7 linked regions of the Cricetulus griseus genome follow. Each later gene encodes a partner of the first gene's protein in a complex. Links are inferred from orthologs where the notes say so. Each region holds a gene or a part of one and is shown on either strand. Other genes may lie near its edges.

Region 1 (4,197 bases):
TTTTTAAAAATGATTTATTTAAAAAATTTTTAGACAGTCTCTCTGTCTGTTCCTCTCTCGTTGGATGCCTTGAAGCTCCCTATATAGACCAAGTTGGCCTTGAACTCAAAGATCACCTGTCTCTGCCTCCAGAGTTCTGGGACTGAAGGTGTGAACTCAGCCTGAAAGATTTAATTTTACCTCATTTGTGTGTATATGTGTTGTGATGTGTGAATGCATTCCACATATTATTTGATTGCTTGTGGAGCCCAGTAGAGGGTGTTGGGTTCCCTGGAGCTGGAGTTAGGGGTAATTGTGAGGCTCTCATGTAGGTTCTGGGTACCAAGCTGGAGTCCTCTGAAAGAACCAAGTGCCCTTAACCTCATAACTTTGGAGCCATCTCTCCAGTTCTCCTGGCCCTTTCTGAGGACTTCATGCTTACTAAGCATGTACTCTACCAACTGAGCCACATCCCCAGTCTTTCTACTCATACTTTTATGCCAACTTAGCTTTGGGGCCTAATCAACCACTATACTACTCTTCCATTCAAATTGTTTTTCTTTTCTTTTCTTTGTTTTTAGTTTTTTTTTCCGAGACAAGGCTCTTCGTGTAACAGCCCTGGCTGTCCTGGAGCTCATGCTGTAGACCAGGCTGGCCTCGAACCCACAACCTGTCCGTCTCTGCCTCCCAAGTACTGGGATTAGAGGCATGCACTACCTCTGCCCGGCTGACAGCTTATTCTTGCTGTCATTTTGGCTAACAACATTCTGAAAACCATCAAGTAGTTCTTAATATTTTCCCTAAGATATCTGAAGCAAGACTACAAAGTAATAAGATTGACACCAACAAAAAATACAAGCATAGCCCTTAAACCATGTATTTTGAATCTCAAAAAAAAAAAAAAAAAGCTACCTAAAAACCAGGCTTACTAATCTCCACTTCTCACACCATCCCTCCCTCCATTCCCACATATCCAGCATTTGCCTAGAACAGAAATCACTATTTGTCAACTGATTTACACAAACAAGTACAATTAGAACAGGTAATGCAAAAGATAAAGAAAGCTGGGCATGGTGGCACACACTTGGAGGCAGAGACAGGTGTATCTCTGTGAGTTTGAGATCCGTCAGATCTACGGTGAATTCCAGGCAAGCCAGAGCTACACAGTGAGACCCTGTCTCAAAATCAAAACAACTAAAATAAAGAAAACTGTTGGAAGACACCTATCACTAAAGTACAGTCAATTTCTTTATGCTTCAGTTTCTCAATTATAAAACACAGACAATACTTATCTAAAAGGGCTATAAGTATTACATATTGTTACACACTGATATGAAATTGAAATTATTTTGCTAATAGTTACTGGAATGAACTGAGGACCTTTTTTGAAGCAGGATCTCGTCACCTAGGCTGAGCTTTAATCCAGATCTTCCTGCCTTCACCTCCTAAGTGCTGGTGTGTAGTACCACAAATCCCTAAGACTAACACCTCTTGATTTTTAGGCCTTCAAACTTTTTCTTTCCACAACTTCTTACTCTCAGACTATCATACCCTCTGTAGAAGACACCCCCAATTCTCTCTTTTTATATTTATTTCTGTAGGCTCTGCCTCTAACATGTATCCTTTATCCATTCACTTCTCTACAGCTAAGATTTAGTCCAAACTATTATTTCTTTCCTGAACAATGGCTGGTAACATCCGATTATCTTACTTTCATTCCTCATGTTGCTGCTGAATATTTGAAAATCAATAAATTAGATCATTTTGCACCCATGTTGAAATGGCTTCAATTTGAAATTTAAACACTCTACATTGCCTTATAAAGGTCTTTGCCTATCTCCCATCACTACTGGATTTGTTTGTTTTACTGGAGTCCAATCTGTCTTCGACCCCTTAGATATTCTAAGCTTCCCCCCCACCCCCCGCCTCCTGATCGATCAAGTCTCTCGTATCTATAGGTATCTCTTTTCTATCCACCGATAACTTTATTTACTCTTGAATGCTATCTACTCAGAGAAGACCTGTGAAAACTCATGCATGGCAGGTAAGAGTCCTACCACTGAGCCATGCGCCCCCAATTTCCAAATAATTGTATAAATGAAAGAATTAATTCAATTTTAATATTTTCTTTGAACATGTCAATCTCCGAGTCCCTGACAAGGATGGCTACTTACTATACACCTAACAGACTTTAAAGTCTTAGCGTCTCCAAAATTGTTAAATCAGGTCTCCCGAGTTCCAAACAATGGCTCACGTTTTTATAGAGTCACAAACGGCGGTCAGAGAACCGGATCACAGAACTTTTCGCCAGTAGTCCCAGATAGTCACACCCACCCCAAACCCATCCCATGAAATCAAGCTCTCTCTTAGGGTTATGAATCGCCCAAGAGCTTCTGACACTTGAGTTGCCCGCTGGCCACGCGTCGCCCGTTGCTTCACGCCTCGCACAGCAGGCTGAAAGCCACACCCGTCACCTAATCAGTACCTGATTGGCTGCTTTTGACCCCACTACTCACCGGGCAATTCCCGCATAAGGTAGAAGGGGCCGCTTCCAGCAGCCGACTTGTCTGCGCCCGCAGGGGCCGAGGTCGCCGTCGGGGGCGGGGCCGTGCCTGGGCCACCTCCCGGAGGAGGCGGAGGTGGCGGGGGCGGCTTTCCAGGCCCGAAACCTAGGGCGCTTGGGGGTGGTGGGGGGTCAGCCTGAGCTCCAAACAGCGCGGTGAAATTCTCCATAGCACTCTCGGCTCCTGCATTACCCGGGATCTGGCGTTAATGACTTTCATTGGCCAGTACTTTCCCAGGGTACCACCCTCGTCCTCGAAGAGCTTCCGGCCATTGGATACACTAGGCCCCGCCTACCACCTTCCTGTAGTTACTTCCGTCGCTCTAAGAGACAGTTTGGGAAGTAGTTCGCAGTCTTACAGCCAATAAAATGACTCAGGTAGAAGAGCGACAACTCTATGGACCAATAGACTGTCTAACTCATTTTCTCATCTATCATAGCACCCAATAAGAGATCTACATCCGGGTCCGGAGGCGTTGCATCTGATATTTGGCCCAATAGAAGCCTCGCTGGTGGGGGGCAGCGGAGGGAAGGGCTGGGGGCCGAACGGAGCCTGCGAGAGAACCGGCAAGGAAGATGGCTGTCCTCGCGCCTCTGATTGCTCTGGTGTACTCGGTGCCGCGGCTTTCTCGATGGCTGGCTCGACCTTATTGCCTTCTGTCTGCCCTGCTCTCCGCTGCTTTCCTCCTCGTGAGGAAACTGCCGCCGATTTGCAACGGTCTCCCCACGCAGCGCGAAGATGGTAACCCGTGTGACTTTGACTGGGTGAGCGCCCCCTGCCTCAGCTCTCGTTGACCATCCCTGCCCCTGCAGGTGCATATGAAAGTGTGGGGGAGATTTGGGGATGTAACCATCTGACAGACTGAATGGAAATCCGCTGCTAGTCTTAACCTCCTTGTTTAAGATGGAGAGAGAGATCCCAGGGTTTCTCCACACATAAACAGGGTTCTGCAGTGATGCCAAGCTTCCTGGAGCGCCGGCGAGGAAGGCAGGCAAGCCAGTAGTAGAAACACCACTTTTAGTCATTTATTTGACAAATTGATCGCAGTGTAGCTATTTTATTTATTTATTTGGCAAATTGATCTCAGTGTTGTTGGGCGACTTTCCCAAGGTCACACAGCGTTCACAAAGTGCTATCTAATCTTGTTCAAAACCCTCTGATAGGCCGACTTAGATCGCTAACTCAACAAAATTACTTAGGTGGAAAAGCAACCGCACGACTACCCTGGCCACTGTAACTGCACATACTATCATCCTCAGGGAGGATAGAAAAACAGAGATTACAAAAACATGAGGAGGGGGGAGCCTCTCACCATTTTAGAAGCACTAATTTCAGAACAATTAACATTTGCTGTGAAGGTTGTGGAACATAGAGCTAATATTCCTTCCCTATCTAAATATTTATGTTAAAATAGCAGTGATCCTGGGGCTGGAGAGATAGCTCAGTGGTTAAGAGCACTAGCTGCTCTTCCAGAAGTCCTGAGTTCAATTTCCAGCAACCACATGATGGCTCACAACCATCTATAATGAGATCTGGTGCCCTCTTCTGGCCCACAGGGATAGATGCAGACAGAACACTGTATACATAGAAAACTTAAAAAAAAAAAAAAATTGCAGTGACCCAGACTTAAGTTATTACTATAACCTTGGGTATG
Region 2 (3,500 bases), on another chromosome or scaffold:
GAATTGTTCTGAAGGGAGATAAATTTTAAATTTATCTAAATGATATGTGATGGCAAAATCATAGAACTATAGTAGCATTATCACCTATTTTTCCTTCTGATGCCTGTAAAATAATTTGTATATCTTACTTGGGCTCTGGAAATTTTTTAAAATTTTATTATAGCTATAATCAGGATTACAAGCAAATAAGCCAGGAAGTTAAACCACTGCAAACTGTGTGCAATTTGTGTGTGCGTGCACACACACAGAACTAAAGACAGATTATGTCTTTGGCAGAATTCTGCTCCTCCGTTGGGACTATGGCTTTATAGTCTAGTGAGAGGTGTCAGTGTGTTGCAGGTGTGACACTTTGAGTCTCTGAGGGCAAGAGTGGATGTTGACTGGCTGCCTACTGATTTACCAAGGTATATTCCAGAGAGAGCATTTCCTTCACTATCACAGTAGCTCAGGTCATATGTGAGCAAAAGAATAAGAAGGAAGAAGCAAGTATGAGATAGAGAAATTAATTTTAAATACAATTAGTTGGAAATGGTATTGTTTTATGTTGTAATAAATCTGCTCTTATACATATATGTTTTTAAACTGTTTCTAGGATTGTTGCTTGATAGTGTATCATCCTTATAGACCTTTGCTCCAGTATGTGCAGGACATGGGCCAAGAAGACGTGTTGCTTCCCCTTGCATGGTAACTAGAACAGAAGTTACTCATATGAAACCTGTTGCTAGACAGGAGGGTTGACAACTAAATATGTGGTTTAGTATTTTAAAGTGCCCCAAGATATTTTATATTCAGCAAATATTTGCTTGTTAAATTTTAATTACTAGGCTGTGTGGTGGTGGCGCACACCTTTAATCCCAGCACTCGGGAGGCAGAGGCAGGAAGATCTCTATGAGTTAGAGACCAACCTGGTCTACAAGAGCTAGTTCCAGGACAGCCTCCAAAGCCACCAAGAAACCCTGTCTCGAAAAAACAAAAAGTAAAAAACAAAAAAATTTTAATAACTATAGTGGTATAAGGTTATAAAGTCATATATATCTTGAATTACCTGTTTGATAAGTATATCTGTTAATGTTTCATATGAAAAATAAGACCTCACATGAAAATTAACAATGAATTTATTCTTACAAAGACAGAGTTTCTCTGTAGCTTTGGAGGCTGGCCTGGAACTCACTGTGGAGACCAGACTGGCCTCGAACTCCCAGAGATCCACCAGCCTCTGCCTCCCGAGTGCTGGGATTAAAGGCGTGCACCACCACCACCCAGAATTTATTCTTAAAATAGTACTTTTTGATTGGATTCAATACAAATCCATTTCAAATAATGGCTTCTTAATTTTATTTTTTATTTTTCAAAAATATGAAAAATTTATTTTATATAATTTGTTGTGAGGTACCAACATCAAAAATATGCTCACTGATACATGAATCTTTGTTGTCACATTCAGGCATCCATTGTTTGGCCTCTGTGTTTTCATCTTTATGACTCTTCTCGGTAGTAGAACAGGGATGTAAATGCACAAAGATGGAAATCTGGCTCTCTCTGGGAGAAGTTACATGGTCAATGAAGTAGTTGTGCTGTTAGTAATGATAAGATTTACATTTCCACAGGAGAATAGTGAATGATACCTACAGGACGGATCTTTGTCTGCTGTATCCTCCTTTCATGATAGCTTTAGGTATGTAAATTTGGAGTGCCTTTATTGGTTAAACTGTTTTTGCCTATTTAGGTCATCCTAAAATACATTTCGCCTGATTGTAATTTATGTTTTTATCAAGTGGTAGACTAATCCTTGAATGTGAGCTTTCAGTAATAAGTACTATTAACAGATTAGCATTGCTGATCCTTAGTCCCTTTTTTTGATAATTTTCCCCCTATACATTGCTAATCCTCAGTCCCTTTTTTGATAGTTTTCCCCCCTTAATTCATTTAAAACATTTTAATCAGTACCTAAACATCATTTTTGTTTGCTTAAAGGGGAAAATTTGGGTGTAAATCTGCTGATATTAGTTGTCTTAAGTAACTGGTTCTGACTTCCATTTCCGGATCCAGTAAAACCTCAAGAGCTTAAGAAGCACCTGTGCTGCTGTCACTAGAAGTTAGCTGGCATCCCATGGGGTGGAGAAGGCACGCAGGGATGGGCTAGAGTTAAGCAGACCAAATTGAGACATTGCTTTCTGTACAGTTGTAGAAACAATTATGTAATTTTTCTGAGCTTATAAAGTTGTGGGATGGATAATAATTTCATAAAGAATTGTTTCAAGAGTTAAGTGAAACAACCTATAGAGCACCAAATGTCTGTTACATCCTAGGCACTTCATAGTTCCTGCTCCTTTTTTCTTCTCCTGTTGATTTTTCTGGCTCCTTTCTTAGTAGTAAGAGTAGTACAGGTCTGGGCTGGAGAGATGGCTCAGAGGTTAAGAGCACCAACTGCTCTTCCAACCATCCCTTATAAGGTGCCCTCTTCTGATGTGCAGATATACATGGAAGCAGAATGTTGTATACTCTTAAATAAATAAAACCTTTAAAAAAAAAAAAAACAAAAAACGAGTAGTACAGGTCACACATGGGCTGAACTGAATACTTCTGCAGCACTGGTGACTCTTGTGAAGCACTGGACTTGGTGGTATTTTGAATTAGCAAAAATTATTTTATCTATTTATTTATTTTGATTTTTTGAGACAGGGTTTCTCTGTGTAACAGCCCTGGCTGTCCTGGAATTCGATTTTTTTTTTTTTTTAAGATTTATTTATTTATCATATATATAGTGCAGGCCAGAAGAGGGCACCAGATCCCATTACAGATGGTTGTGAGCCACCATGTGGTTGCTGGGAATTAAACTCAGGACCTCTGGTAAGAACAGTCAGTGCTCTTAACCCCTGAGCCATCTCTCCAGCCCAGAATTCGATTTGTAGACCAGGCTGACCTTGAACTCACAGAGATCCGCCTGCCTCTGCTGGGATTAAAGGCATTTGCAACTACCACCCAGCAAGATTTATTTATTTTATGGATAGGAGTGCTTTATCTGCATGTTACTGTGTGCCAGAAGAGGGCATCAGATCCCACTATAGATGGTTGTGAGCCACCATGTCATTGCTGGGAACTGAACTCAGGACCCTGGAAGAGCAGCCAGTGCTCTTAACCTCTGAGCCACCTCTCCAGCCTACAAGACCATCTTAAAAGCTTGTCTAACCAAACGTGACTGTATTGCAAAGGTCAAAAATGCTTAAGTGAAATTTAGCTTTTTAAAATTTAGGTTATATCCCTTAAGGATGGGTTCCATTAATTGAGAGCTAAAGATATAGGTCTAGGGAGGGAAAGTCTGGGATAGACATCCTGGGTTATTTGGGTGAGGTCTGCCTCTATAGATAGCAAAAGGTCAACAGGTTGTTAATAATATCCACCCCTACTTTCTGGATGGAAAGCAGGTATTTTATTTCCTCCTTTGAGGAGACAACCCCTGCATGATTAACATTGCTGATTTCCCCCGAAATCTGCCTTGA
Region 3 (3,500 bases), on another chromosome or scaffold:
ATGGGTAGTAAAATGCTGCCTAGTCTAGGTTTTCAAAATGTTTTTTTGTTTGCTTTGTTTTGTTTTGTTTTTTGAGAAGGACTAGGCAATCCAGAAATGTCTTTTCTCTCAGTTTTCGAGTATTGGTGCAAACCTAAGACAATACTATATAGGCCAAAGAAAACATGTCTGTATGGCAGCTCTACAAAAGCCGTGCTTTTTTCTCTCATATGATAAACATTGTAAAAGACCATATGTTGTAGTACTTGTGCATGTGACAAATTGGAGCGAAGCCCTGCTAGAATCAAGCACTTGGGTCTTTGCAATAATTTATTAAATAATTTGGTGATAAATGTTTTATTATTCCTCAGCAATGCTTAGTTGCCTATTTGAGAGGAGAAACAGACTAAAGGTGCCCAAGCATGCTCTTAGGTCTTGTATGGAGAGGTTGCTCTTCCAGAGAAGAGGGATCCCTCTGCATTTTGAACCAACTACACCCCTAGCCCTAAAGCACCAGAGAAACCATAGTTCATTTCCAGTAGTTCAGGCCATCATTACCAAGTGTCCAGCACAGCTTAGACATGTTAAGTGAGCTAAGTCCATTGGAACCATTTCATTTCAGATTTATAAGTTTATTTATAAATTGTTGATGACTAGAATGCCCTGTGTTTATGTAGACACATTTTTTTTTATTTTGTGCTTTTTTTCCTCTTCAGCCTTATACACAGCATTGCAACCAGAGTGATAAAACTTGCTCATGCAAAATCCAGTGTCGCCTTAGCCCCAGCTCTGGTGGAGACTTACAGTCGCTTACTGGTCTACATGGAAATAGAGTCTTTGGGCATCAAAGGATTTATCAGTAAGACAAGCTTCACTGCTGTTTCTGATGACTAACATGTTCATTAATTTAAGGAGTACTCTTTAGGTGCTCTCAGAGGATGCAGCAGGCATGAGGCCCACTGCTGAGGACAGACAGGGGACAGGGAGTAAAGCAAGCAACTGAGAGAGATGCACTGTGACAGACAGTGTGTGATAGAGAAGAAAGCAAAATGTGCGACAGGAGAGCTTCTTAATGTCTGTGGGGAAAGAAGCTTGTTTGGAAGTAGCATGGCAGGAAAACGACAGTAAGCTAGGTGCTCAGGTGGGCTGCTCAGCTTAACGTCCTCTCCCATGCAAATGAATTCTTAGAGGCCGAAGTGCTGGGTGAGGCTAGTGCTAAGGCTGGCTGGCAGTAGAGAAGGACTTTCGGACACTGCAGAAGACAGTGCTAGCTAGTGGTTAGCAGTTCTACATAATAGGTGCTCTCTAACTGGAAACATCTTTGTGATTCATTTCACCAATAGCCTGAATTTTAACCATAGTCACTCTTTTTCTCTTAGATGTGAATCCACCTTTCTTTGGATGGAAGAAAGAATGAACAAGGAAAGACGTTAGCTTTTTTGTTCTGGTTTGCTTTTTGGCTTTTTTTGAGACAGTATCTCCTACATAGTCCAGTACAAGCTGGCGTCTCACTTTTTATGTTGGTGAACCTGGCTCCGAACTCTTGATTCTTGCCTCTACCTCCCAAGTGCTAGGATTAAAGGTAGCTGCTACCACACCTTGCCTTTTTTTTTTTTTTAATTAAAAATTGAATCTGGCTAGGTAGTGGTGGCACATACATCCTGCCAGCACTTGGGAGGCAGAGGTAGGTGCATCTCTGAGTTCAAGGTCAGCCTGGTCTACATAGTGAGTTCTAGGACAGTCAGAGGTACACAGAGAAACCCTGTCTCAAAAACAAAAAAAACAAAAAAACAAAAGTGACTGTTATAATTGTGCTAATTGCAATGGTGTACACCTGTAGTCTCTGCTGAGGAGGTTAAAGCAGGAAAATTACTTGAGTGTAAGAGTTCACTGCCAGCCTAGGTAATGGAACCCTTGGGTTTAATTTCCAGCACTATAAAAAAGAGAGAAAGGAATGTCTCTCATACTCAAAATTCATAAATCTTGACTATGGAAATATTGTAAAAGATAACTGAGAAGCAAGGCAAGTTGGCAGTTTGATGGGCTTTTATTCTTTTGTTTGGTTTTGTTTTTTGTGTGTGGTTGCTTTCATTTAATTTTCCCATCTTAACTTGAGCCTGACTTATCAAACTCTAGAAAGGAAAGATAAATTCAATGTGTATGTAGGCTCTGATTTTTTCACCCCTACAAGTAGAACTGTGTATGTACTTGCGTGTATATGTTATTATAGTTACATTTTTGTATATATCCTGAGTGTGATATTCTTCAAATATCCAAGTTTGTCCCTTTTAGTAACTGGTGCCTGGAATTCTTCTTTCTCCAGGTCAGCTCTTGCCTACTGTCTTCAAGTCGAACGCCTGGGGCATTCTGCACACCCTTCTGGAGATGTTCAGCTACCGCATGCACCACATTCAGCCTCATTACAGGGTGCAGCTCCTCAGCCATCTCCACACGCTGGCTGCAGTTGCACAAACCAACCAGAACCAGCTCCATCTGTGGTGAGTGCTACAGACTGCCCTTCCTCGGGTTTGGTACGCTTGTGCTTTCAAGTGGGGGACTTAATCCCCCACCCTCTTTTTTTTCTTATTTGTTGTAAAATTAAAATTCTGTTTCTAAGATACTATAATTCTAACACAGTAGTGGAATCCAAGTTTTTAATAGAAGTTGTATTTAAATACACTTCAAGTCATGGTTAAAGTGTCATTTTAATTTTGATATAAATGAAAATATGTTTCAGATGGGGGAGGTAACACAGGGTCTTGTGTATTGTAAGGTGACCTTGAATTCATTTTTGTAGCCAAGGCAAGATTTAAATTCCTGATCCTCCTGCCAGTGCTTCCTAAATGCTGACCTTGCAAGTGTGTGCTACTTACCCAGTAAAAATACAATTACTGACGTGTTGTTTGTCTCGGAGGGTTTTCATCTAGTCTATAAGCTCTTTCTTGTCGCATGTGTAAAAGGTCAGCTACTTCTGATTGTAAAATTTAGCATCAAACAGGGAGGTTTTTTTATGTCAAAGAAAGGTAATGTATAATCTTTGTGTCCTTTCAGTTTAATAATTCTACAATTGGATCTAACTGCATAAATGTGAACTGTGCTTTCTTGCTGCTTTCAGTGTGGAGAGCACTGCGCTGAGGCTCATCACAGCTCTAGGGAGCTCGGAGGTCCAACCGCAGTTCACACGTTTCCTCAGTGATCCCAAAACGGTGCTGTCAGCAGAATCTGAAGAACTGAACCGAGCCTTGATCCTCACCTTAGCCAGAGCAACTCATGTCACAGGTAGAGACCATGATCCTGACCTTAGCCAGGGCAACCATGTCACAGGTAGAGACTGTGAGAGCCACATTAGCAGATGAAGTGTCTTGCTCCTCTCAGGCCACAGTGGCAGACTGTACTCAGGAGGTGCCCGTTCTGCCATCTCCATATGATCAGTTAATAATGGAAGCTCAGGGCACCACCATTCTAACTAAGGGTTTTGTTTCATAACTGCTTTCAAACTAATTTGAAATTCCCAAAGATTT
Region 4 (3,685 bases), on another chromosome or scaffold:
CACAGATCAAGTTTCCATCCACGGGCGTGGACACAATGCCCTACTGGAACCTGCTTCCTCCCAAGCGCCCCATCAAGGAGGTACTGACAGACATCTTTGCCAAGGTGCTGGAGAGGGGCTGGGTGGACAGCCGCTCCATCCATATCCTAGACACCCTGCTGCGCATGGGCGGCGTCTACTGGTTCTGCAACAACCTGATTAAGGTACTGGGGCCAGGGTGGATGTGGACAGCTATGTAGATTGGGGCCATGGGTGTCCTCAGTTGGGGTAGGCCAGGCTTCTTTGGGAGGTTGCTGGAAGCTGGGTGGTCTCCGGGGGAGACAGAGGTAGGGACCTCACCTCAGAGAAGCACCTTCGGTTGGAGTTGGATAGCACCTTTGACTGTAGAGTGGCTGGAGCATGAGAGCCCTAGGGCCCAGGTGTGCAGTGCCTTAGCCGCTGCTTGCCCACTGCCCAGGAGCTGCTGAAGGAGACTCGCAAGGAACACACACTGAGGGCAGTACAGCTACTCTACTCCATCTTCTGCCTGGACTTGCCGCAGGTGACCCTGGTCTTGCTGGGCCACATCCTGCCCGGTCTGCTTACTGACTCCTCCAAGTGGCACAGCCTCATGGACCCTCCTGGCACTGCACTAGCCAAGTAGGATTCTCTCCAGAGCCTTCCTGGTGTCTGCTCCCCTTGAGTCCCAAGAATCTACCACCCAGATTCAGGCACCCCAGCCCTGGTGCCAGCTCAGGAAGCCAGGCTGTGGTTGGGGGGCCCGCTGAGTGGTGGTGGGTGGGAGGGGCTTGTTCAGCATGAGCACACATAGCCTCTTTTGGGACTCTCTTAACTATTCTTTTTTCTTGGAACCCTTCACCAGACTAGCTGTGTGGTGCGCCCTGAGTTCTTATTCCTCTCAAAAGGGACAGGCAGCTTCCCGCCACAAGAAGAGACACAGGGAAGACATTGAGGTAGGTCTGCCACCGCCTTGGTTGTGTGTTTATTCATGAGATGCTTCCTGATCACTTAGAGCAGAGAGCTGCCTTCCCAGGGTGGGGGTGGGGTTGAGGTCCCCTGTGTGTGGGCCTTTTTGATTGGTCAGGGTCTGGGGGAGTGGCTTGAGTGGCCCCTGAGTATCCTTGATGAGGGTCCTTTCTGCCCACTAGGGCAGAGATTGGAGTGTGGGAAGGGCCACCACTGGGGATGCTGGCCAGGGACTAGGAAACTCACTCCTCTCCACTCAGATCTCACCTCCAGCCCTCTCCAGTCCTTGGAGACTTGGGAGGTTGGGTGTGTGACAGTGACTCCTGCCCCCAGGACTATATCAGCCTCTTCCCCGTGGAAGACATGCAGCCTTCGAAGCTGATGCGACTCCTGAGCACCAATGAGGATGATGCCAACATTCTGTCGAGTCCCAGTGAGCACTTGGGAGGTCACGGGCTTGCTAGGACCATTTGTCCCTAAGGACCTGCCTTGGCTCCCAGCTGATGGCTGTCAGCCAGTGTGGTGTGGCAGCAGCTTCCACGTCTGTCCCTAGTGGATGCTCTGCTGCCTGCTGGTGGGGACCTGAAGTTCTCCTCCAGGGGCCCTCCCAGTCCCACAGTTATCCCTCTCTTGTCACCAGTTGAAAGATGACAAGACACCCAGTGAGTTCACTACCTTGGTACAGCTTGTACCATTCACTCACTCACTCTGCCATCCTTCTAACCCAGAGACATGCCCTGTGGCTGAGAACAGGCCCTGTCAGGTTGCGACCTGGGGCTGCACTCCTGCCTTCCTATCCAGAGGGCAGCCCATGTCATCCTTTCCTTCTGCCAAAAGTTTTTTTGTGTGGCATCCAAGTTTCCTGTTTCCAGAGATCTCTTCTGAGCCTAGAAGTTTTCTCTGTAGCCTTATAAGGGACCAGGCCACAGCCACAGCCTTGTGTGAAAGAAAGCTGCTGGCAGACCACCTCTGACCTTAGCCAGGCTCTAAGCAAACAGATTGTACGTCTGTAAAATGGGCTTTGAGTGGGACAGGTGGCTTCAGCCACACAGAGTGCCAGGGTTAGCCTCGGTTGGTGCGCAGAGGCTTGTTCCCACTCATCTACTCTCCAGATTCAGGCTCTTCTGTGCCCCGTACGTGCCAGACTCCCCTGATGGCAGGGGACAGGTAAGGCTCCCCTAGAGTCAGAGCTTACGCAGCACCCTCTCTGCCACTCCACAGCTGACCGTTCCATGAACAGCTCCCTCTCGGCTTCCCAACTCCACACAGTCAACATGAGGGACCCTCTGAACAGAGTCCTGGGTGAGTCCTCCCAGCCGTGCCTACCTGCAGACTGAGCTACACGGGCCCCTCCTCGTCAGAGGCAGGGCCACGCCTGCCAGAGGGATCCTCTGGGCCCTGACATCCTGTTCCGCTTCCATGTGCTGTCCTGTTCCCTTACCACCGCTAACAGCCTCCCTTTACTCCATCCCCCATCCCCCGCCCCACCTTCCCTCCCTGGCCTTCCTATGTGAGCTCTCACTGCCTCTTCCTTTCCCTCCTCGGTCCCCTTCTTTCTCGTCTGACTTGTTCTAGAGCTCTGCTGTCTTGTTCCCTTCTGCACAGCCAACCTGTTCCTGCTCATTTCCTCCATCCTGGGCTCCCGCACCGCCGGCCCCCACACCCAGTTTGTGCAGTGGTTCATGGAGGAGTGTGTCGACTGCCTGGAGCAGGACAGCAGGGGCAGCATTCTGCAGTTCATGCCCTTTGCCACTGTGTCGGAACTAGTAAAGGTGTCTGCCATGTCCAGCCCCAAGGTAGTGCTGGCCATCACAGACCTCACCCTGCCCCTCGGTCGGCAAGTGGCTGCCAAAGCCATCGCTGCACTCTGAGGAGCTTGGAGTAGCCTGGACGGGGTCCCAGCCCCAGCATCCCAGCAGGGGGAGTGAGGATGAGCCCAGGCTGCCCCATCCAGTGGTGCAAGGATGCTTCTCCAGTCTGAGGCCCTCACCCACTCCTGCCCTCTACTTACTATGCCTGTTCCTTCTGTGGTTTTCTGTCCTTTCCACCAGTACCCAAAGACTGCGAGTGGTCCCGATGGTTGCCCCAATTCTTGCAGTAGCTGAACTCCAAGGAGGGACTTTATAGGGCCACAGTGTATATATAAGTTTATTTTTATAACTCAGGAGGGGGAGTCCCTCTTGCTTTGTTTGTAAATAAAGATCCTTGTAGCTATTGAATGCTGTTGGTAGCTTTGCTGGATGACTGGGGACAGTATCTTTTCCCTGCAAGTCTCTTGTGCTGTGGCCAGGGAAGGGCACAGTCCTGTGGTGGGGGAGGAGGTGTGGAAGGCCAGGCTCGTTTTTCACAGGCCCCCACTGAAAGTGGAAAGGTCTGTGAAAGCCCTGTACTGTGCTGTGCAGGGCAGGATGGCTTGCTCTTTAGTCACACTCCACCCTCTGGCCCAGAGTTCACTGTGTGTTCCAGAAGATTGTTGGAGGGATGAGGATGAGGACTCTGTTCTCCACACTCTACAGGTCCAGGGACATGGATCTGTGAGGCTGTGGGAAGGGAAATTGTCAAGGGGGCTTTGAGAAGCCAGTGGTATGGAGGGCTGTGGAGGACGGTGCCTAGGTTGGCCTGGTTGGGCAGCTCTGACCCACAGGGAGCCTGCAGCTGACTTTCAACTGCAAGTGCTCTTCATGGCCACATCCCACCCTTGCAGACATCTTCAGCTCAG
Region 5 (3,500 bases), on another chromosome or scaffold:
CATGGCCCAGGGCACAAAAGCCCTGGAAATAAATTCAAGTGTCTTGGTACAGCTATTCCTACCCATACCTTAGCAGCAGACTCTGCCCCACTGTGTGGACCCATGTATAACGATCCTTCCTAGGCCATTAACAACTGGCATTTACCAGAACCCTGCTTACCCCTCAAACACTTGTGCCATCTGGTCCTGGTTGAGGATGAGGCAGGCATGATAGTGTCGCAGGACAGCCACGATACATAAGCATAGGCTGGTTGTGTAGCTGCCCACCAGATCAGAAGATTTGAGAAGGAGCTCGGCCTCAACCACGCTCAGCTCATTCAGCAACTATCAGAGACATGGAGGTGAAACATAAGAGGCCCCTTTCATTGGCCATAACCCCACTTTCTGGAAGGAACTTGACATGGCCAAGCCTGAGCTCCTTCCTGCTGCAGCCACTTCAGCACAGAAGGGTCAGGTTACCATGTACCAGTGTCGCACTCTACTAGCAGTATCTCTAAGCAGTCTCCAGGACAGCATGCTATAAACTCCACAGGGGGAGGATGGTCTGTACCCAAAGCTCTAATCTGTCTCTTGGGCCTCCCCAGGGAGCACTTAAACCTCTATTCCAGCAGTCTTAGATCATGTTCCACTCCCACTGTGCTAGTCTTTCAGCCATCCAAATAGCCTAGGAAACTGGCTGGAGCCTCTACTCCTCTTCATGACCCTATAGAGCATGAATTCCTTCTTCCGCCCTTATCTGGCCCAACTTCCCCACCTGAATGGCAAAGTCGATGAGGCCACTGATGCTCAGTGAATATTCCATGAGGTCGAAGATGAACTGCACATGCTGCACCAGAGGCAAGTGGTATGACATGCCAAGGGCAAAGCTCGTGATCTGCTCCAGAACATTCCGGGAGACCTGATAAGGGCAGTAGGAGTGAGACAGGAATGGAAGGAAAGAAGACCTAGGGAAGCAGGAAAGGGTGATGGTGGAAGGGGATGAGACCAGCAGGCTTAGCCTGTTTAGTAGGGGGGGGGAAGATAAAACAAAAAGGAAAAGAGGAAAAGAGGCCAGAATGGGAAGGGGGCTGGCTTAGGCCCACACCTGAGCCGTGACCTGGTGTTGGTCATAATGAGAAAGGTGCTGGAACTTAGCAAAAATATCTTCAGCAGTGGGGAAGGCTTCCGGCCGGTTGCGGCGTCGCTTCTGCCCATCTTCCCCACCTGAGCGGACAGTTGAAAGCAATGAGTCAGGACAATGAAAGAAAACCAGTTGACTAGGGGCTGGGGTAGGGGTGTGGCGAACGGACTATGGTAGGGAGGGAGGAGGGGAAAAGGGAAGGAGGGAAGGAGAAGAGAAGGGAAGGGTGGTCAAGGAAGGGCTTGGGTAGGGATAAACGGGACAATGAAGCACAGGTTTAAAGGGCCACAGACTATGTGGACCTCTGAGGAATGTGTACAGGGAGGCGCTAGGTTAAGGGGGTAGGGGGAGGGCAGTAAGGGGCTTACTGTGAGGTACCTAAGAATGTCAGGTCTCCAGGATTCAGAGGCACAATAGGAGCAAGCTGGTCTGTAGAGGGGGGGAATGAGGGGGAAGTTTCAAAAGGACTAGAGCTCTCAGGAGACTCCAAGAGACAGGACATTGGGACATGACTGGGGAGTGCCCTACACTGGGCATGGGAAGACTGACTAGGGCATTCTTTGGGGAGACTTCTGTTTAAGGAGACTCAAACCCACCAGTTTCTGCTGTTCCCTTGCGGTTCAGAACCTTCAGGATATCCTTGGTAATCTTCTTGATGGCATGGCGGGCATCATCTCGCTGCTTCCCCACCCCAAACAGTACGACCAACCGCTGGTTGCACTCATGGCTGCATGACTCCTCCTGCATCCCGGCAGCACCATCAGATTCCATCATGGGTCTCCTGCCCTCCTCTTAAGAGCATGCTTTGTATCTCTCAAAGCTCCCACGTTCAAGCCCCTTCTCAAACACACCCACACCCTGGGGAACTGGTCTAGCCCCTCAGCAAACTCCTTGGATGGAAATCTGGGCTCAAAGCAGACTATCACAAATGTTGGACAACAGTACCTGTGGGATTGGAAAGTGTGTGGCATACTGCACATGTCGTGGCTGGTCATAAAGAACCCCAAGTGTCCCCTCCATCTTCTCTTTGGGTGGGGGTTTCACTTCCTTTTCGACATCTGGTTTCTCAGGGGATGGGCTTCCCTTCCCCTCACAAGGCATAGTAGGGGAGAACAACTAAGAGGGTGAAAGGGCAGAACATTCAGGAGAAGCAAAAGGAGGCATAAAGAAATTCCAAAAGGAGGCATAAGGGGAGAACCAAGGTGCTGGATTCTTCCATGCTTGGGATCTTACTGAGAAATCGGGCTTCTCCATGTCTTCAAAAAGCACACTGGAACTAGGGTCTATGTCCATAGATTCAGAGAGCCCTGGATCCTGCAGGCACACAACAAATCAAGAGCTGCCTTGGTCCTGGAAGTGCTTCCTCACTGTCCAGGAAAGTTCATTAAGAACTGGATCAAGGCCAGGCGTTGGTGGCGCACACCTTTAATCCCAGCACTCGGGAGGCAGAGACAGGCAGATCTCTGTGAGTTGGAGGCCAGCCTGGTCTCCAGAGCGAGTGCCAGGATAGGCTCCAAAGCTACACAGAGAAACCCTGTCTCGAAAAACCAAAAAAAAAAAAAAAAAAAAAAAAAAAAACACCAAAAAAAAAAAAAAAAACAACTGGATCAAGGGGGCATGAGGAAAGCCCAAGTTATGGATTCAAACCTTGTTCATTTACTTAACCAGTAGGCAAAGCCTCAGTTTCCATCACCTTTAAATGGAAAGCAGGAGAAGTACCTCACAAGCCTTTTCTGAAGATTAAGTGAAAAACTGACATGAGACTATTCTATAAATCATGAAGTTCTGAGAAAATACCATTATTCTTGGGTACAAGAGATGCTCAGAGGCTTCTAGAAGCTGTAAAAATGGGAACGTCAAAAGTAATAATTAAGAGCAATGAAAAGGACACACACCTCTAGCTTGCTACTGCTGCTGCCTTCAGTCTCCTTGCGCTCTGGGTCATCCGCAGGATCATCAAAGGGAGAGGGAGGCCGAGGACCAGGGGCTCCAAAAGCAAGATCTCCCCGAGAGATGAGAGTGCAGGTGTACATGTTGTGCGAGAAAACATCGTGTCGGATCAGTTCACAGAACAGCAGTACTAGATTAAAGAATTCCACTCGTTCACTCTCACTGCGGGGATCAGCTAGAAAGAGGGAATGAGGAGAGATAAGTTAGCAGAACACAAGACGGACAAAAGAGATAGGGACACATCTCAGTAATGGCGCTCTTAGACCAGGCAGAGACAGACACCCCTGAGGCAATAACAGGAAGAACAACAAAAGAAAACCCTGATAACGGGTGGTTGGTAGGTCTGGGAAAATGCCTCAGCAATTAAGAACATTCCCTGGCTGCTCTTCCAGAGGGCTGTTTTTCCAGAGGGTTTGATTCCTAGCACCCA
Region 6 (4,134 bases), on another chromosome or scaffold:
CAGAGATCCGCCCGCCTCTGCCTCTGAGTGCTGGGGTAAGAGGCCGCGTCCCACTAATTCTACCTCTTTTCAAGCCAAAGTTCCCCCTCCCTGTATTTTGGGGCCGAAAACTGGTGAGTTGGTTGGAAGATAGTGTCCAGTATCAGCACTTCTCTCATTACTCTGAAGAAGGAATGCTGATTATTGGACCCTTGGAGCCTGAGGAAGGGCCTGCTCCCCACACAGCACATTGTGAATGTGGCACATAGCAAGAGCGCTGGGGACATTTATGCAAGGAATGCCTGCACGCACGCAGAGTGGGCGCAAAATGCTCCGGAAACATGCGTGCTTTAGGAGCTCAGCGCTCGGTAGGCAGCGAACCCCGAGCCCTGGCTTCGTAGTGCCAGGGTTCGAATCCCGCGTCCTCGGGCAAGCGCCTCGCTGCCTTTGTGTCTCTGAGTCCCACTCCTCCGCCCGGTGAGCAGCGGCCGGCGGGCGTGAGGTTTCGAGGACACTCCTCGGTACGGTCCGACAGGCCGGCCCAGCCCGGCCCACGCCGCGCCCCAGGCCCGAGCAGCTACCAGGGCTCCGGAGGCCGTGCCGAGAAGCCGCGGCCTCCTCGGCCGGCGACAGACGCGCGCCCGCGCCCAGGGCGGGGCGTCCACGCAGCCCCGCCGTCCCACGGCCGCCCGCACCTCTTTCTCTCTCTCCCTCCCTCCCTCCCTCTCTCGCTCGCTGGTCCCCGCTCCGAGAGGGCCGCGCTCGGCTCAGCAGCGCTCCCGCGAGCCGCACCGCCGCCGCCGCCGCCGCCGCCGCGGCCCCTCCCCGCCCCCCGCGCGGCCGGCGCCCGTCACGTGACGCGCCGCAGCCAATGGCGGGCCGAGCCGCGGTCGGCGGCCGCCATTGCTGTCAGAGCGAGCGAGCCCGGGAGGGAGGAGAAGCGCGGCCGACTGGGGAGGAGGGGGGGGTGGGGAGGAAGAGGAAGGAGGGGACGGCGCTCGCTGCCGGGGTCGCCCGCTGGCTTCGTCCGCACCCCCCCCTTCGCGGGCTCGCGCGGCAGCGGCGGCGGCGGCTCGGGGCGGCTGCGGGGCTCGCGTGCCTCACGCGCCGGCGCGGCGAGGGCGAGTCGCCCGCCGGCTGGAGATAAACAAGGCGGCCGACGAGGCGGCGAGGCGGAGGCGGAGGCGGCGGCCCTGCGCGACAGAGGCGGGCGCGTTGCCGCGCCGCGCCCCCCGCCGCCGCCGCCGCCGCCCTCGGGCTCCGCGCGCGGCCTCGCGCCCCGGTGCCCGCGAGCCGCCGCCCGGCCCGGCCCGCTCCGACATGCCCCGCTCTGGCGGCCGGGCTCGCGGAGGACCATGACCGCCGCGGCGAACTGGGTGGCGAACGGGGCGAGCCTGGAGGATTGTCACTCCAACCTCTTCTCGCTGGTGAGTGGCGGGGCGGGGGCCCGGGTGGGGGGCGCGACCTCCCCGCCGCGCAACTTTCTCCTCCCGGAGCCCCGGCGGCGTCGGCGAGCGCGGCGCCCGGCGTGGACGTACGTGTGGAAGTCGGGGCGCTGCGGACGCCGGGGCGCGCTCGGAGCGCCCACCTCCGTGGCAATCACACCCCCCTTCCTCTCCCCTTCCCCCTCTTTTTTCTTTTCTTTTCTTTTCTTTCTTTCTCTCTTCCTCTCCCTCCCTCTCTCTCTCTCTTTTTAACTCCTTCCCGAAATGTGGAAGGCTTAGAATTCTGCCTTGTGCAGCCGCCGGCGCCTGCGATCTGCAGGCTCGTCCTCTCTCCGGATCGGATCGGCCGCTCTCCCGCGTCTGCCTTCTGAATTTTCTTTTTTTAAATTCCACAATGACACCTGCGATTTCGACCGAAAACAGTTGATGGAAGGCGATTGTGTCAGGGAAAGGACTCTGGCAGCGGAAGCTCGCACGGTTGTAAACACGGACAGCCGCCAGCCTCTCGGGGCTTACTATGCTGGAGAGCGGGAGAGCCATTGCTCAGAGCCCACGGAAGGTGGAGGAAGCTCCTGCTCCTCGGCTCTCCTCCGCTGCCTTTAAAAACTGTTTTTTCTGCCCTAACAAGGAAAACACACACACACACACACACACACACACACACACACACACACACACACACGAGAGAGAGAGAGAGAGAGAGAGAGAGAGAGAGAGAGAGAGAGAGAGAGAGAGAGGAGAGCAACAAGCTGGGCGGTTTGATAACATCGCTTTTATCTGCCTTTGCCTCTCCTCTCTCCCGCTTTCGCCTCTCTGATAATTGACAACTTTTGCTTTGGAAGTGCATCGCCTGCCTTAATCTCGAAGCATTTAGGGTGTCAATTGTTCTCCTGGAAGCCTGGCACCCGACGAGGGCGGCTCGATTCATCGAAATTAAAAATGTATAGGGCTCCAGCAACTCTTTCCTGGCGGTGGCAGTGACATTTGGTGGTAAATGCCATCTTTGCTTTTTATTGGGTCGTATTACCTCGCTCTGAAAACATTCGCGTTGTTAAACCTGGTGCTTAGACTGATAATGGGAGTGCGTGGTCTTTAAATACGCGCTTTGTGCCTGAGTTACTGTATGTGGAGCTATGTGCCCGGGAGAGTACGAATTTGTTTAAATATTGAGCAAAGATTTGTAAACAGATGTAAGGCAATTATGTTTCAAGCGTAGAATATAATTGGAAAATTGGTTGAACGGCTTATTTAATTTAGCCTTAAAAACTCAACTTATTTTAAGTTGTGTGCCCAGTATTTGTTTTGGGGGGGGCTGGGGTACGCTCCCTTTTGGAGAGCATGCATTTATTGCAAATTATTTTCTGTAACCCCTGCTGTAGATAGGAGCTTTATTTCCTCTCAGTCCTTGTTTACACTGGATAAATAATTTAGTGTTGAAATTGTAATTAGTTACATTTAATTATGGGTGGCATAGATGCTTTTTCTCCCCTTGGAGACTAGTGGAGAAATACGAATTCTTGCCAACTTAGGAAGTGTCATTTTATTTTCATGCAGATAAAGAAATCAAGCATGATTTTGGCCTACAAAGACCTAGTGACATAGTACTCCTGCTTGCAGTCCTGTAACAGTGTAACAGCAGGCTGATTTCTTCTTACTCTGAATTGAGACTCAGTTAGAAGTTGGGGTTCTTCCTTCACCGCTGTGGTAATTTACCCCTTGATCTTTTGATGTGAGGATAAAACTACTTTTGCCCCCCCCCTTCCTCTGTCTGTCATTTAGTATTAGGTTCAGGAACCTTCATAGATCAGCAAATGTATTGATTAAGGGGTATTTAAAATGGTTTTGTTTGGCGGCTGGGTGACCACATTGACATACTTACAGGTAATTAAAATAACCAAGTCAACCCATATTAGTTTGGGAGAGCTCCCAAATTACCATACATCATGCTGACTAATAATGGCTTGTGTGCATGTGGCTAATTTATAGACAATGAATTGTGTGGACAAATGAAAGACTGTTGGTGCACAGCTGAACTGTGAGGTCATTCCTTATCTCTTGAGCTTCAAGGGGGTGATAGTGTAGAGATGAGATGTTTGAAATTCCTTGTTGAAGATTCTGGACTTTGATTTTTACTGGCCTAAGGATGCATTCTGGGTATTTCTCCCCTAAACATCTTTAAACCAAAGAGTTGACTTTTGAATATAATTTAAAGTATAATTAACTTTTTGGGTAATCCCTTTGAAATGCAGACATGCTTAGATTGGTTTAAAAATATAGAATGTTTATATTTCATGGTACCTAGGGATGTATAAATGCTGTTTAATTGTTCAAAATGGCTTATTTATTTTTATTTTATGTGCATTGATAGATGTTTTGCCTGCATGTATGTCTCTGTGAGGGTGTCAGATTCTTTGGAATTGGAATTACAGATGGTTGTAAGCTGCCATGTGGTTGCTGTGAATTGAACCCCGGTCCTCTGGAAATGCAGCTAGTGCTTTTAACTCTATCTAAAATTTATTTGAAGAAAAAAAAATCAAACTTCAGTCTTTTCTTCTGATTCCAAATTGAGAATTTTTCCTGAAGATCATATACAGACAGCAGCAATCTATCATGTTAAGAATACATTGCCCTAACAACATAGTTGATTCCAAAGGGTTGGCAGTGATCACCTTTTCAAAGTCATGTGTATGTCTGAAGAACTATAGGTACT
Region 7 (4,164 bases), on another chromosome or scaffold:
TTCCCCTAAGACTGGAGTTTAAAAGGTTGTGAGCTGCCATGTAGGTACTGAGAATCAAACCTGGTCCTCTAGAAGAACAGTCAGTGCTCTCAACTGATGAGCTATCACCTCAGCCCCAACACTATTCTTTAATAAAGAAAGCACTTCTGGTTGTGCTAGACAATTTTTGTTTCCCAAGAAAGGTTCTCACTCTCTAGCCCAGGCTGGCCTTGAACCCAAGTTCAGTTCCCAGTACCCATACCCACCTGTAAGGCTAACTCCAGGGGATCTGACACCACGGGCCTCTAAAGGCACCTGAACTCAGGTGCACATATCCACACACAGGAGCACTAGTGCGCATATCCACACACACACACACACACACACACACACACACACACACACACACACACAATTAAAAAATTTTAATTAAACAAGTAGCTCAAACTGCAATCTGACCACCACAAATAGATGCCAATGACTATGAATAATTGTAGGACTCCAAGCCGGGTCCAAACATCTGCTCGCAGTCATCTACTGACCTTGGCTGCCCAGGGTGGAGGCAGCTGTGTGGTAAGTCTCACAGTCCACACAAAATGTTCCTTGTTTCTCTGCCCCAAGCATCTCCAATTTCCTGGTGAGGAGCTCCACCGTCTGCTGGACACTCTTGCCCTCAGCCACAGGCATCTGGGACACACTGAGAAACAGAACAGTCAGCAGTGTCCAGAGACAAACATGCTCTGGCTGAGCCACTCATTCCCAAATAGTTACCAGATCAACAGGACTAGGAGTTACTTTAGATAACACTAACTCTGATCCTGCCCCTTAAACTGAGAAAGGAAGAGGCCCACAGTCCAAGAGTTCCTTTAACAGGCAGAACACAGGTCTCAAGTGTCTCACACAGGGACATGGAACTTTCTACCACATCAGCATTCCCAAGTAAGGTACAAATACCAACATTAAGTGTTGATTCTAGGTAGCACACACTGCACACATTCAGTGTCACTGAGTTGTACAGTGGATGTGATTGATGGTTTACGTGCCAACATGACAGGACCTAGAAGCTTGGAGATAGGGTCTTACAATGCCGCCGAAGATGATCTGGAGTTCACTGAATTAGCCTGAGCTGATCTCACTCTTTTAGCAATCCTTCTGTCTCGGCCTCCCAGGTGCTGGAATTATAGGGGTATACTTGGCTGAGACCTATTTCTTAAACAAACTCCTGACCCTGTCTGTGAGATTCTTATTTAACTAAGGTGTGGATAAATCAGCTGAGTAGGACACCACACGTGCTCTCGCGCACGCGCACACACACCCAAACACACACACCCCCACACACCCCTACCTACCTCTTGACTATGGACATAATGTGACCAGCCACCTCATTCTATTTAAACTCAACTAGTGAGCCAAAATAAACCCTATCATAAGCTGCTTTTGTCAGGTATAGAGCCCCAGGAGGCTGGTGGATAATATTCTGGACATTGTGGACAGAACTTTCCCACTATCACAGAGTTCCATTTAAAGGCACTAAGAACAAAGAGAACGCATCCCTCGAGTGTATACGCCTAGAAAAAGAGACAATAGTCGTTTCAAGGACCAGTGAGCAATACATAAAACAGAAGAGTCACTAAACTGACACTGTGACAGAAACTCTGTGATTTTGAGAGAGTTGAACCGATACTAGTAGGAAGGGAAACCTTTTCTCTGTATAATGAACCCTAGGCAGGCAGGCATTGGTGGAGCACTCCTGTGATCCCAGGATGCAGGAGTCAGAGGCAGGTGATCGACAGCCCATAAAAACATATACAGAAATGTTTTATAGGGCCCAGTGACTCTGCTGTGATTTCTATTTTCACTGCTGACAGGTACTTTTTACGGTGTGATGAGGTTGAGATAAGGCTCCTGGTGTCAACTAATTTGCACGTATAGTAGTCACTAAAAACCCTGCAAGAGCCTGGGTTTCCTGAAGAACATCCCACACACACATTATACAGAACAGCTGGGAAGACACACACCACTACCAAGATTTTTTTTAACGTGCTGAAGCCTAGTACTTTGGAATTAATGCCCTGAAGAAAAGCACGGTGTCCAGACATTACCAATCACCTCTCTTTTTCCAAGTGAGATTTAAAACACGTTTCAGATAAAAAACAAAAAAAAACCCAAACCTGACTCAAACATGTAGGAAGTGATTCTTGGATAGTTAATGTGCCTGGAACCCCGACCTCCAAACCTCCAACAGCTCCTTTTCCTCTCCCTCTGACATTAGACCAAATTAAAGCCAGGCTATTATTACTGCAAGCAAAATGTAAAAGTCACTTTCTCCTAGAGCGCCCCCCTCTTTTTTATCGCTGCCTGCAAATAATTCTTAGTGCGAAAGCCTATTCCCAACTTTTAGGTCCTATTGGCGACAATACTATGGCCTGACGGACATGAAGAAGTACCAAGAAAAAGAAGGTACGACTCCTGACAGGTTCCTGGAATGAAGAGTTGGCTTTGCCAAAAGGATGCGCCTGGGAAGGAAGAAGCACCACACGGCGTCCCTTGCTGCAACACGACCCGAGGACATCTTTGTCAGCCCGCGAGGAACCGAGAGCTTCCGTCCCGATCCCCCTCCTGGGGCCTTCACGACCCCAAGCTCCGTCCCACAAGAGCCCCTGCAGTCCTACCAAGTCACTCCCATGGCGCAGGGTCAAAGGGGTGGCACTGCCAAACACTCGAAGTCAAGGGATCCAGAGGCCCCTGGAGGTAGAGCCGCCTAAAGCAGGATGCAGGCTCCGGAAATACGCAAAATCTGAGCGCCAGAGCGGTACACCCACAGAAGGGAGGCGTGCCCGGGCGCTCCAGCGATGAACGAATTCCGTCATCAGCCCGGCTCCGCCCCCAGGGCGCGCTTTGCTTTGACAGGACCTCTCAGGCTACATTCATGAATTCTGTCTGGAAAAGGTGACTTGGGACATCCACCCACTTCCGTACAATGAGATTACCTGAGAATCTGGGGAGTCCAGCTCCCGCCCCGGAGCTCCTGGAGAGATGGCGGTATATGAGGCACTTCCGGCCTCCGAACGCTGGGGGGCGCTGTGAACTCTCGGTGACCTCCCGAGCACCGGAACACAGGGCGCAGACACAGTCCTAGTTTTAAACCGGCTTCCCACGTGTGAGTAGCATCGGCAAGTTTTTCGAGAAAAATGCCCAAATTGAAGGTGGCCCGCGGGGCCCGGAATCAGGAGAAGCATGCACCTCTGGCCGAGCAGATTCTGGCTGGGAATGCAGTGCGCGCGGGGACCCGAGACAAGCGGCGGGGACGCGGGGTTGAAGAGGAGGAAGAGTATGTTGGACCCCGGCTGAGCAGACGCATTTTGCAGCAAGCCAGGCAACAGCAGGAGGAGCTCGAGACTGAACACGGGACTGCAGACCAGCCTGCAAAGCCACGGGAACGCGCCACGCGGCTGGGTGAGTGACACGGGCTGGAGTGGTGGCATGGGCCGGACTAGCTCAGTCCATCCGGATACGGGTTTGGAATTACAAAGAGGAGGCAGTTTTTCCTTCCCGCGTGGTCCTTCACTTCAACGCGTACCTTCTGGAACCTACCTCAGAGTTCCAACAGGAAGTAATCACTCACACCAAGTTCCAGTATTTATTCTCTGGGCTTGTGAAGTATGACTGTGTTTCCTGTGCAATGCTTTGAACTGTGTTAAGAGTTCAGGCAGTTCTAAGCCGGGCGGTGGTGGCACACACATTTAGTCCCAGCACTCGGGAGGCAGAGGCAGGCTGATCTCTGTGAGTTCGATCCACAGAGAAACACTGTCTTGAAACCCCCCCCCCCAATAAAAAAGAGTTTAGGCAGTTCTGATACCGAAATAAACAATGTACTCGTCCTTGCTTTTAGCACCGGAAGTCTACCCCAAGGCAGAGAATATTAAATAGAGTAACATATTCCAGCAATGAGCAGCGGTGCTCGCCTGTAATCCCAGCAGGTGAGAAGCTGAGGCAGAAGAAGGCCCTCGTGGACTACATAGTAAGGTCCAGATCAGCCTGATATACATGGTATACCTCTATCGATCGAGACAGTAAAAGAAAATGAATATATTCCTATTCAAAACAACAACAACAAACCCGCCATTAATTCAACAGGCCAGGCACCCCAGTTTTGTGCCCTGCCGACTAAGATATAAAAAACAT

Evidence for each region.
Region 2: Med19 (region 1) and Ccnc share a complex: the UniProt entries of both Homo sapiens proteins name them as parts of the mediator complex. The link is inferred for Cricetulus griseus from reciprocal best matches to the Homo sapiens genes MED19 and CCNC.
Region 3: Med19 (region 1) and Med23 share a complex: the UniProt entries of both Homo sapiens proteins name them as parts of the mediator complex. The link is inferred for Cricetulus griseus from reciprocal best matches to the Homo sapiens genes MED19 and MED23.
Region 4: Med19 (region 1) and Med24 share a complex: the UniProt entries of both Homo sapiens proteins name them as parts of the mediator complex. The link is inferred for Cricetulus griseus from reciprocal best matches to the Homo sapiens genes MED19 and MED24.
Region 5: Med19 (region 1) and Med12 share a complex: the UniProt entries of both Homo sapiens proteins name them as parts of the mediator complex. The link is inferred for Cricetulus griseus from reciprocal best matches to the Homo sapiens genes MED19 and MED12.
Region 6: Med19 (region 1) and Med13l share a complex: the UniProt entries of both Homo sapiens proteins name them as parts of the mediator complex. The link is inferred for Cricetulus griseus from reciprocal best matches to the Homo sapiens genes MED19 and MED13L.
Region 7: Med19 (region 1) and mediator of RNA polymerase II transcription subunit 20 share a complex: the UniProt entries of both Homo sapiens proteins name them as parts of the mediator complex. The link is inferred for Cricetulus griseus from reciprocal best matches to the Homo sapiens genes MED19 and MED20.

The regions. Positions count from the first base shown.
Region 1 is NC_048599.1:90,852,325-90,856,521, forward strand, and holds the start of Med19 (mediator of RNA polymerase II transcription subunit 19), read right to left. Parts: upstream 2,801-4,197; 5' UTR 2,713-2,800; coding exon 2,496-2,712; intron 1-2,495. UniProt on the Homo sapiens protein: Component of the Mediator complex, a coactivator involved in the regulated transcription of nearly all RNA polymerase II-dependent genes.
Region 2 is NC_048595.1:119,710,543-119,714,042, reverse strand, and holds part of Ccnc (cyclin-C), read left to right. Parts: intron 1-592; coding exon 593-684; intron 685-1,607; coding exon 1,608-1,675; intron 1,676-3,500. UniProt on the Homo sapiens protein: Component of the Mediator complex, a coactivator involved in regulated gene transcription of nearly all RNA polymerase II-dependent genes.
Region 3 is NC_048595.1:244,070,302-244,073,801, forward strand, and holds part of Med23 (mediator of RNA polymerase II transcription subunit 23), read left to right. Parts: intron 1-695; coding exon 696-838; intron 839-2,302; coding exon 2,303-2,477; intron 2,478-3,094; coding exon 3,095-3,258; intron 3,259-3,500. UniProt on the Homo sapiens protein: Required for transcriptional activation subsequent to the assembly of the pre-initiation complex. Component of the Mediator complex, a coactivator involved in the regulated transcription of nearly all RNA polymerase II-dependent genes.
Region 4 is NC_048600.1:111,788,178-111,791,862, reverse strand, and holds the end of Med24 (mediator of RNA polymerase II transcription subunit 24), read left to right. Parts: coding exon 1-203; intron 204-457; coding exon 458-639; intron 640-862; coding exon 863-953; intron 954-1,299; coding exon 1,300-1,399; intron 1,400-2,187; coding exon 2,188-2,268; intron 2,269-2,571; coding exon 2,572-2,837; 3' UTR 2,838-3,185; downstream 3,186-3,685. UniProt on the Homo sapiens protein: Component of the Mediator complex, a coactivator involved in the regulated transcription of nearly all RNA polymerase II-dependent genes.
Region 5 is NC_048604.1:68,969,516-68,973,015, forward strand, and holds part of Med12 (mediator of RNA polymerase II transcription subunit 12), read right to left. Parts: intron 3,246-3,500; coding exon 3,016-3,245; intron 2,435-3,015; coding exon 2,354-2,434; intron 2,237-2,353; coding exon 2,066-2,236; intron 1,862-2,065; coding exon 1,717-1,861; intron 1,550-1,716; coding exon 1,499-1,549; intron 1,204-1,498; coding exon 1,085-1,203; intron 899-1,084; coding exon 755-898; intron 325-754; coding exon 161-324; intron 1-160. UniProt on the Homo sapiens protein: Component of the Mediator complex, a coactivator involved in the regulated transcription of nearly all RNA polymerase II-dependent genes.
Region 6 is NC_048597.1:98,444,271-98,448,404, forward strand, and holds the start of Med13l (mediator of RNA polymerase II transcription subunit 13-like), read left to right. Parts: upstream 1-1,334; coding exon 1,335-1,406; intron 1,407-4,134. UniProt on the Homo sapiens protein: Component of the Mediator complex, a coactivator involved in the regulated transcription of nearly all RNA polymerase II-dependent genes.
Region 7 is NW_023276806.1:255,578,091-255,582,254, forward strand, and holds the start of mediator of RNA polymerase II transcription subunit 20, read right to left. Parts: upstream 2,801-4,164; 5' UTR 2,666-2,800; coding exon 2,652-2,665; intron 677-2,651; coding exon 522-676; intron 1-521. Other genes in the region: bystin, read left to right, coding at 3,171-3,435. UniProt on the Homo sapiens protein: Component of the Mediator complex, a coactivator involved in the regulated transcription of nearly all RNA polymerase II-dependent genes.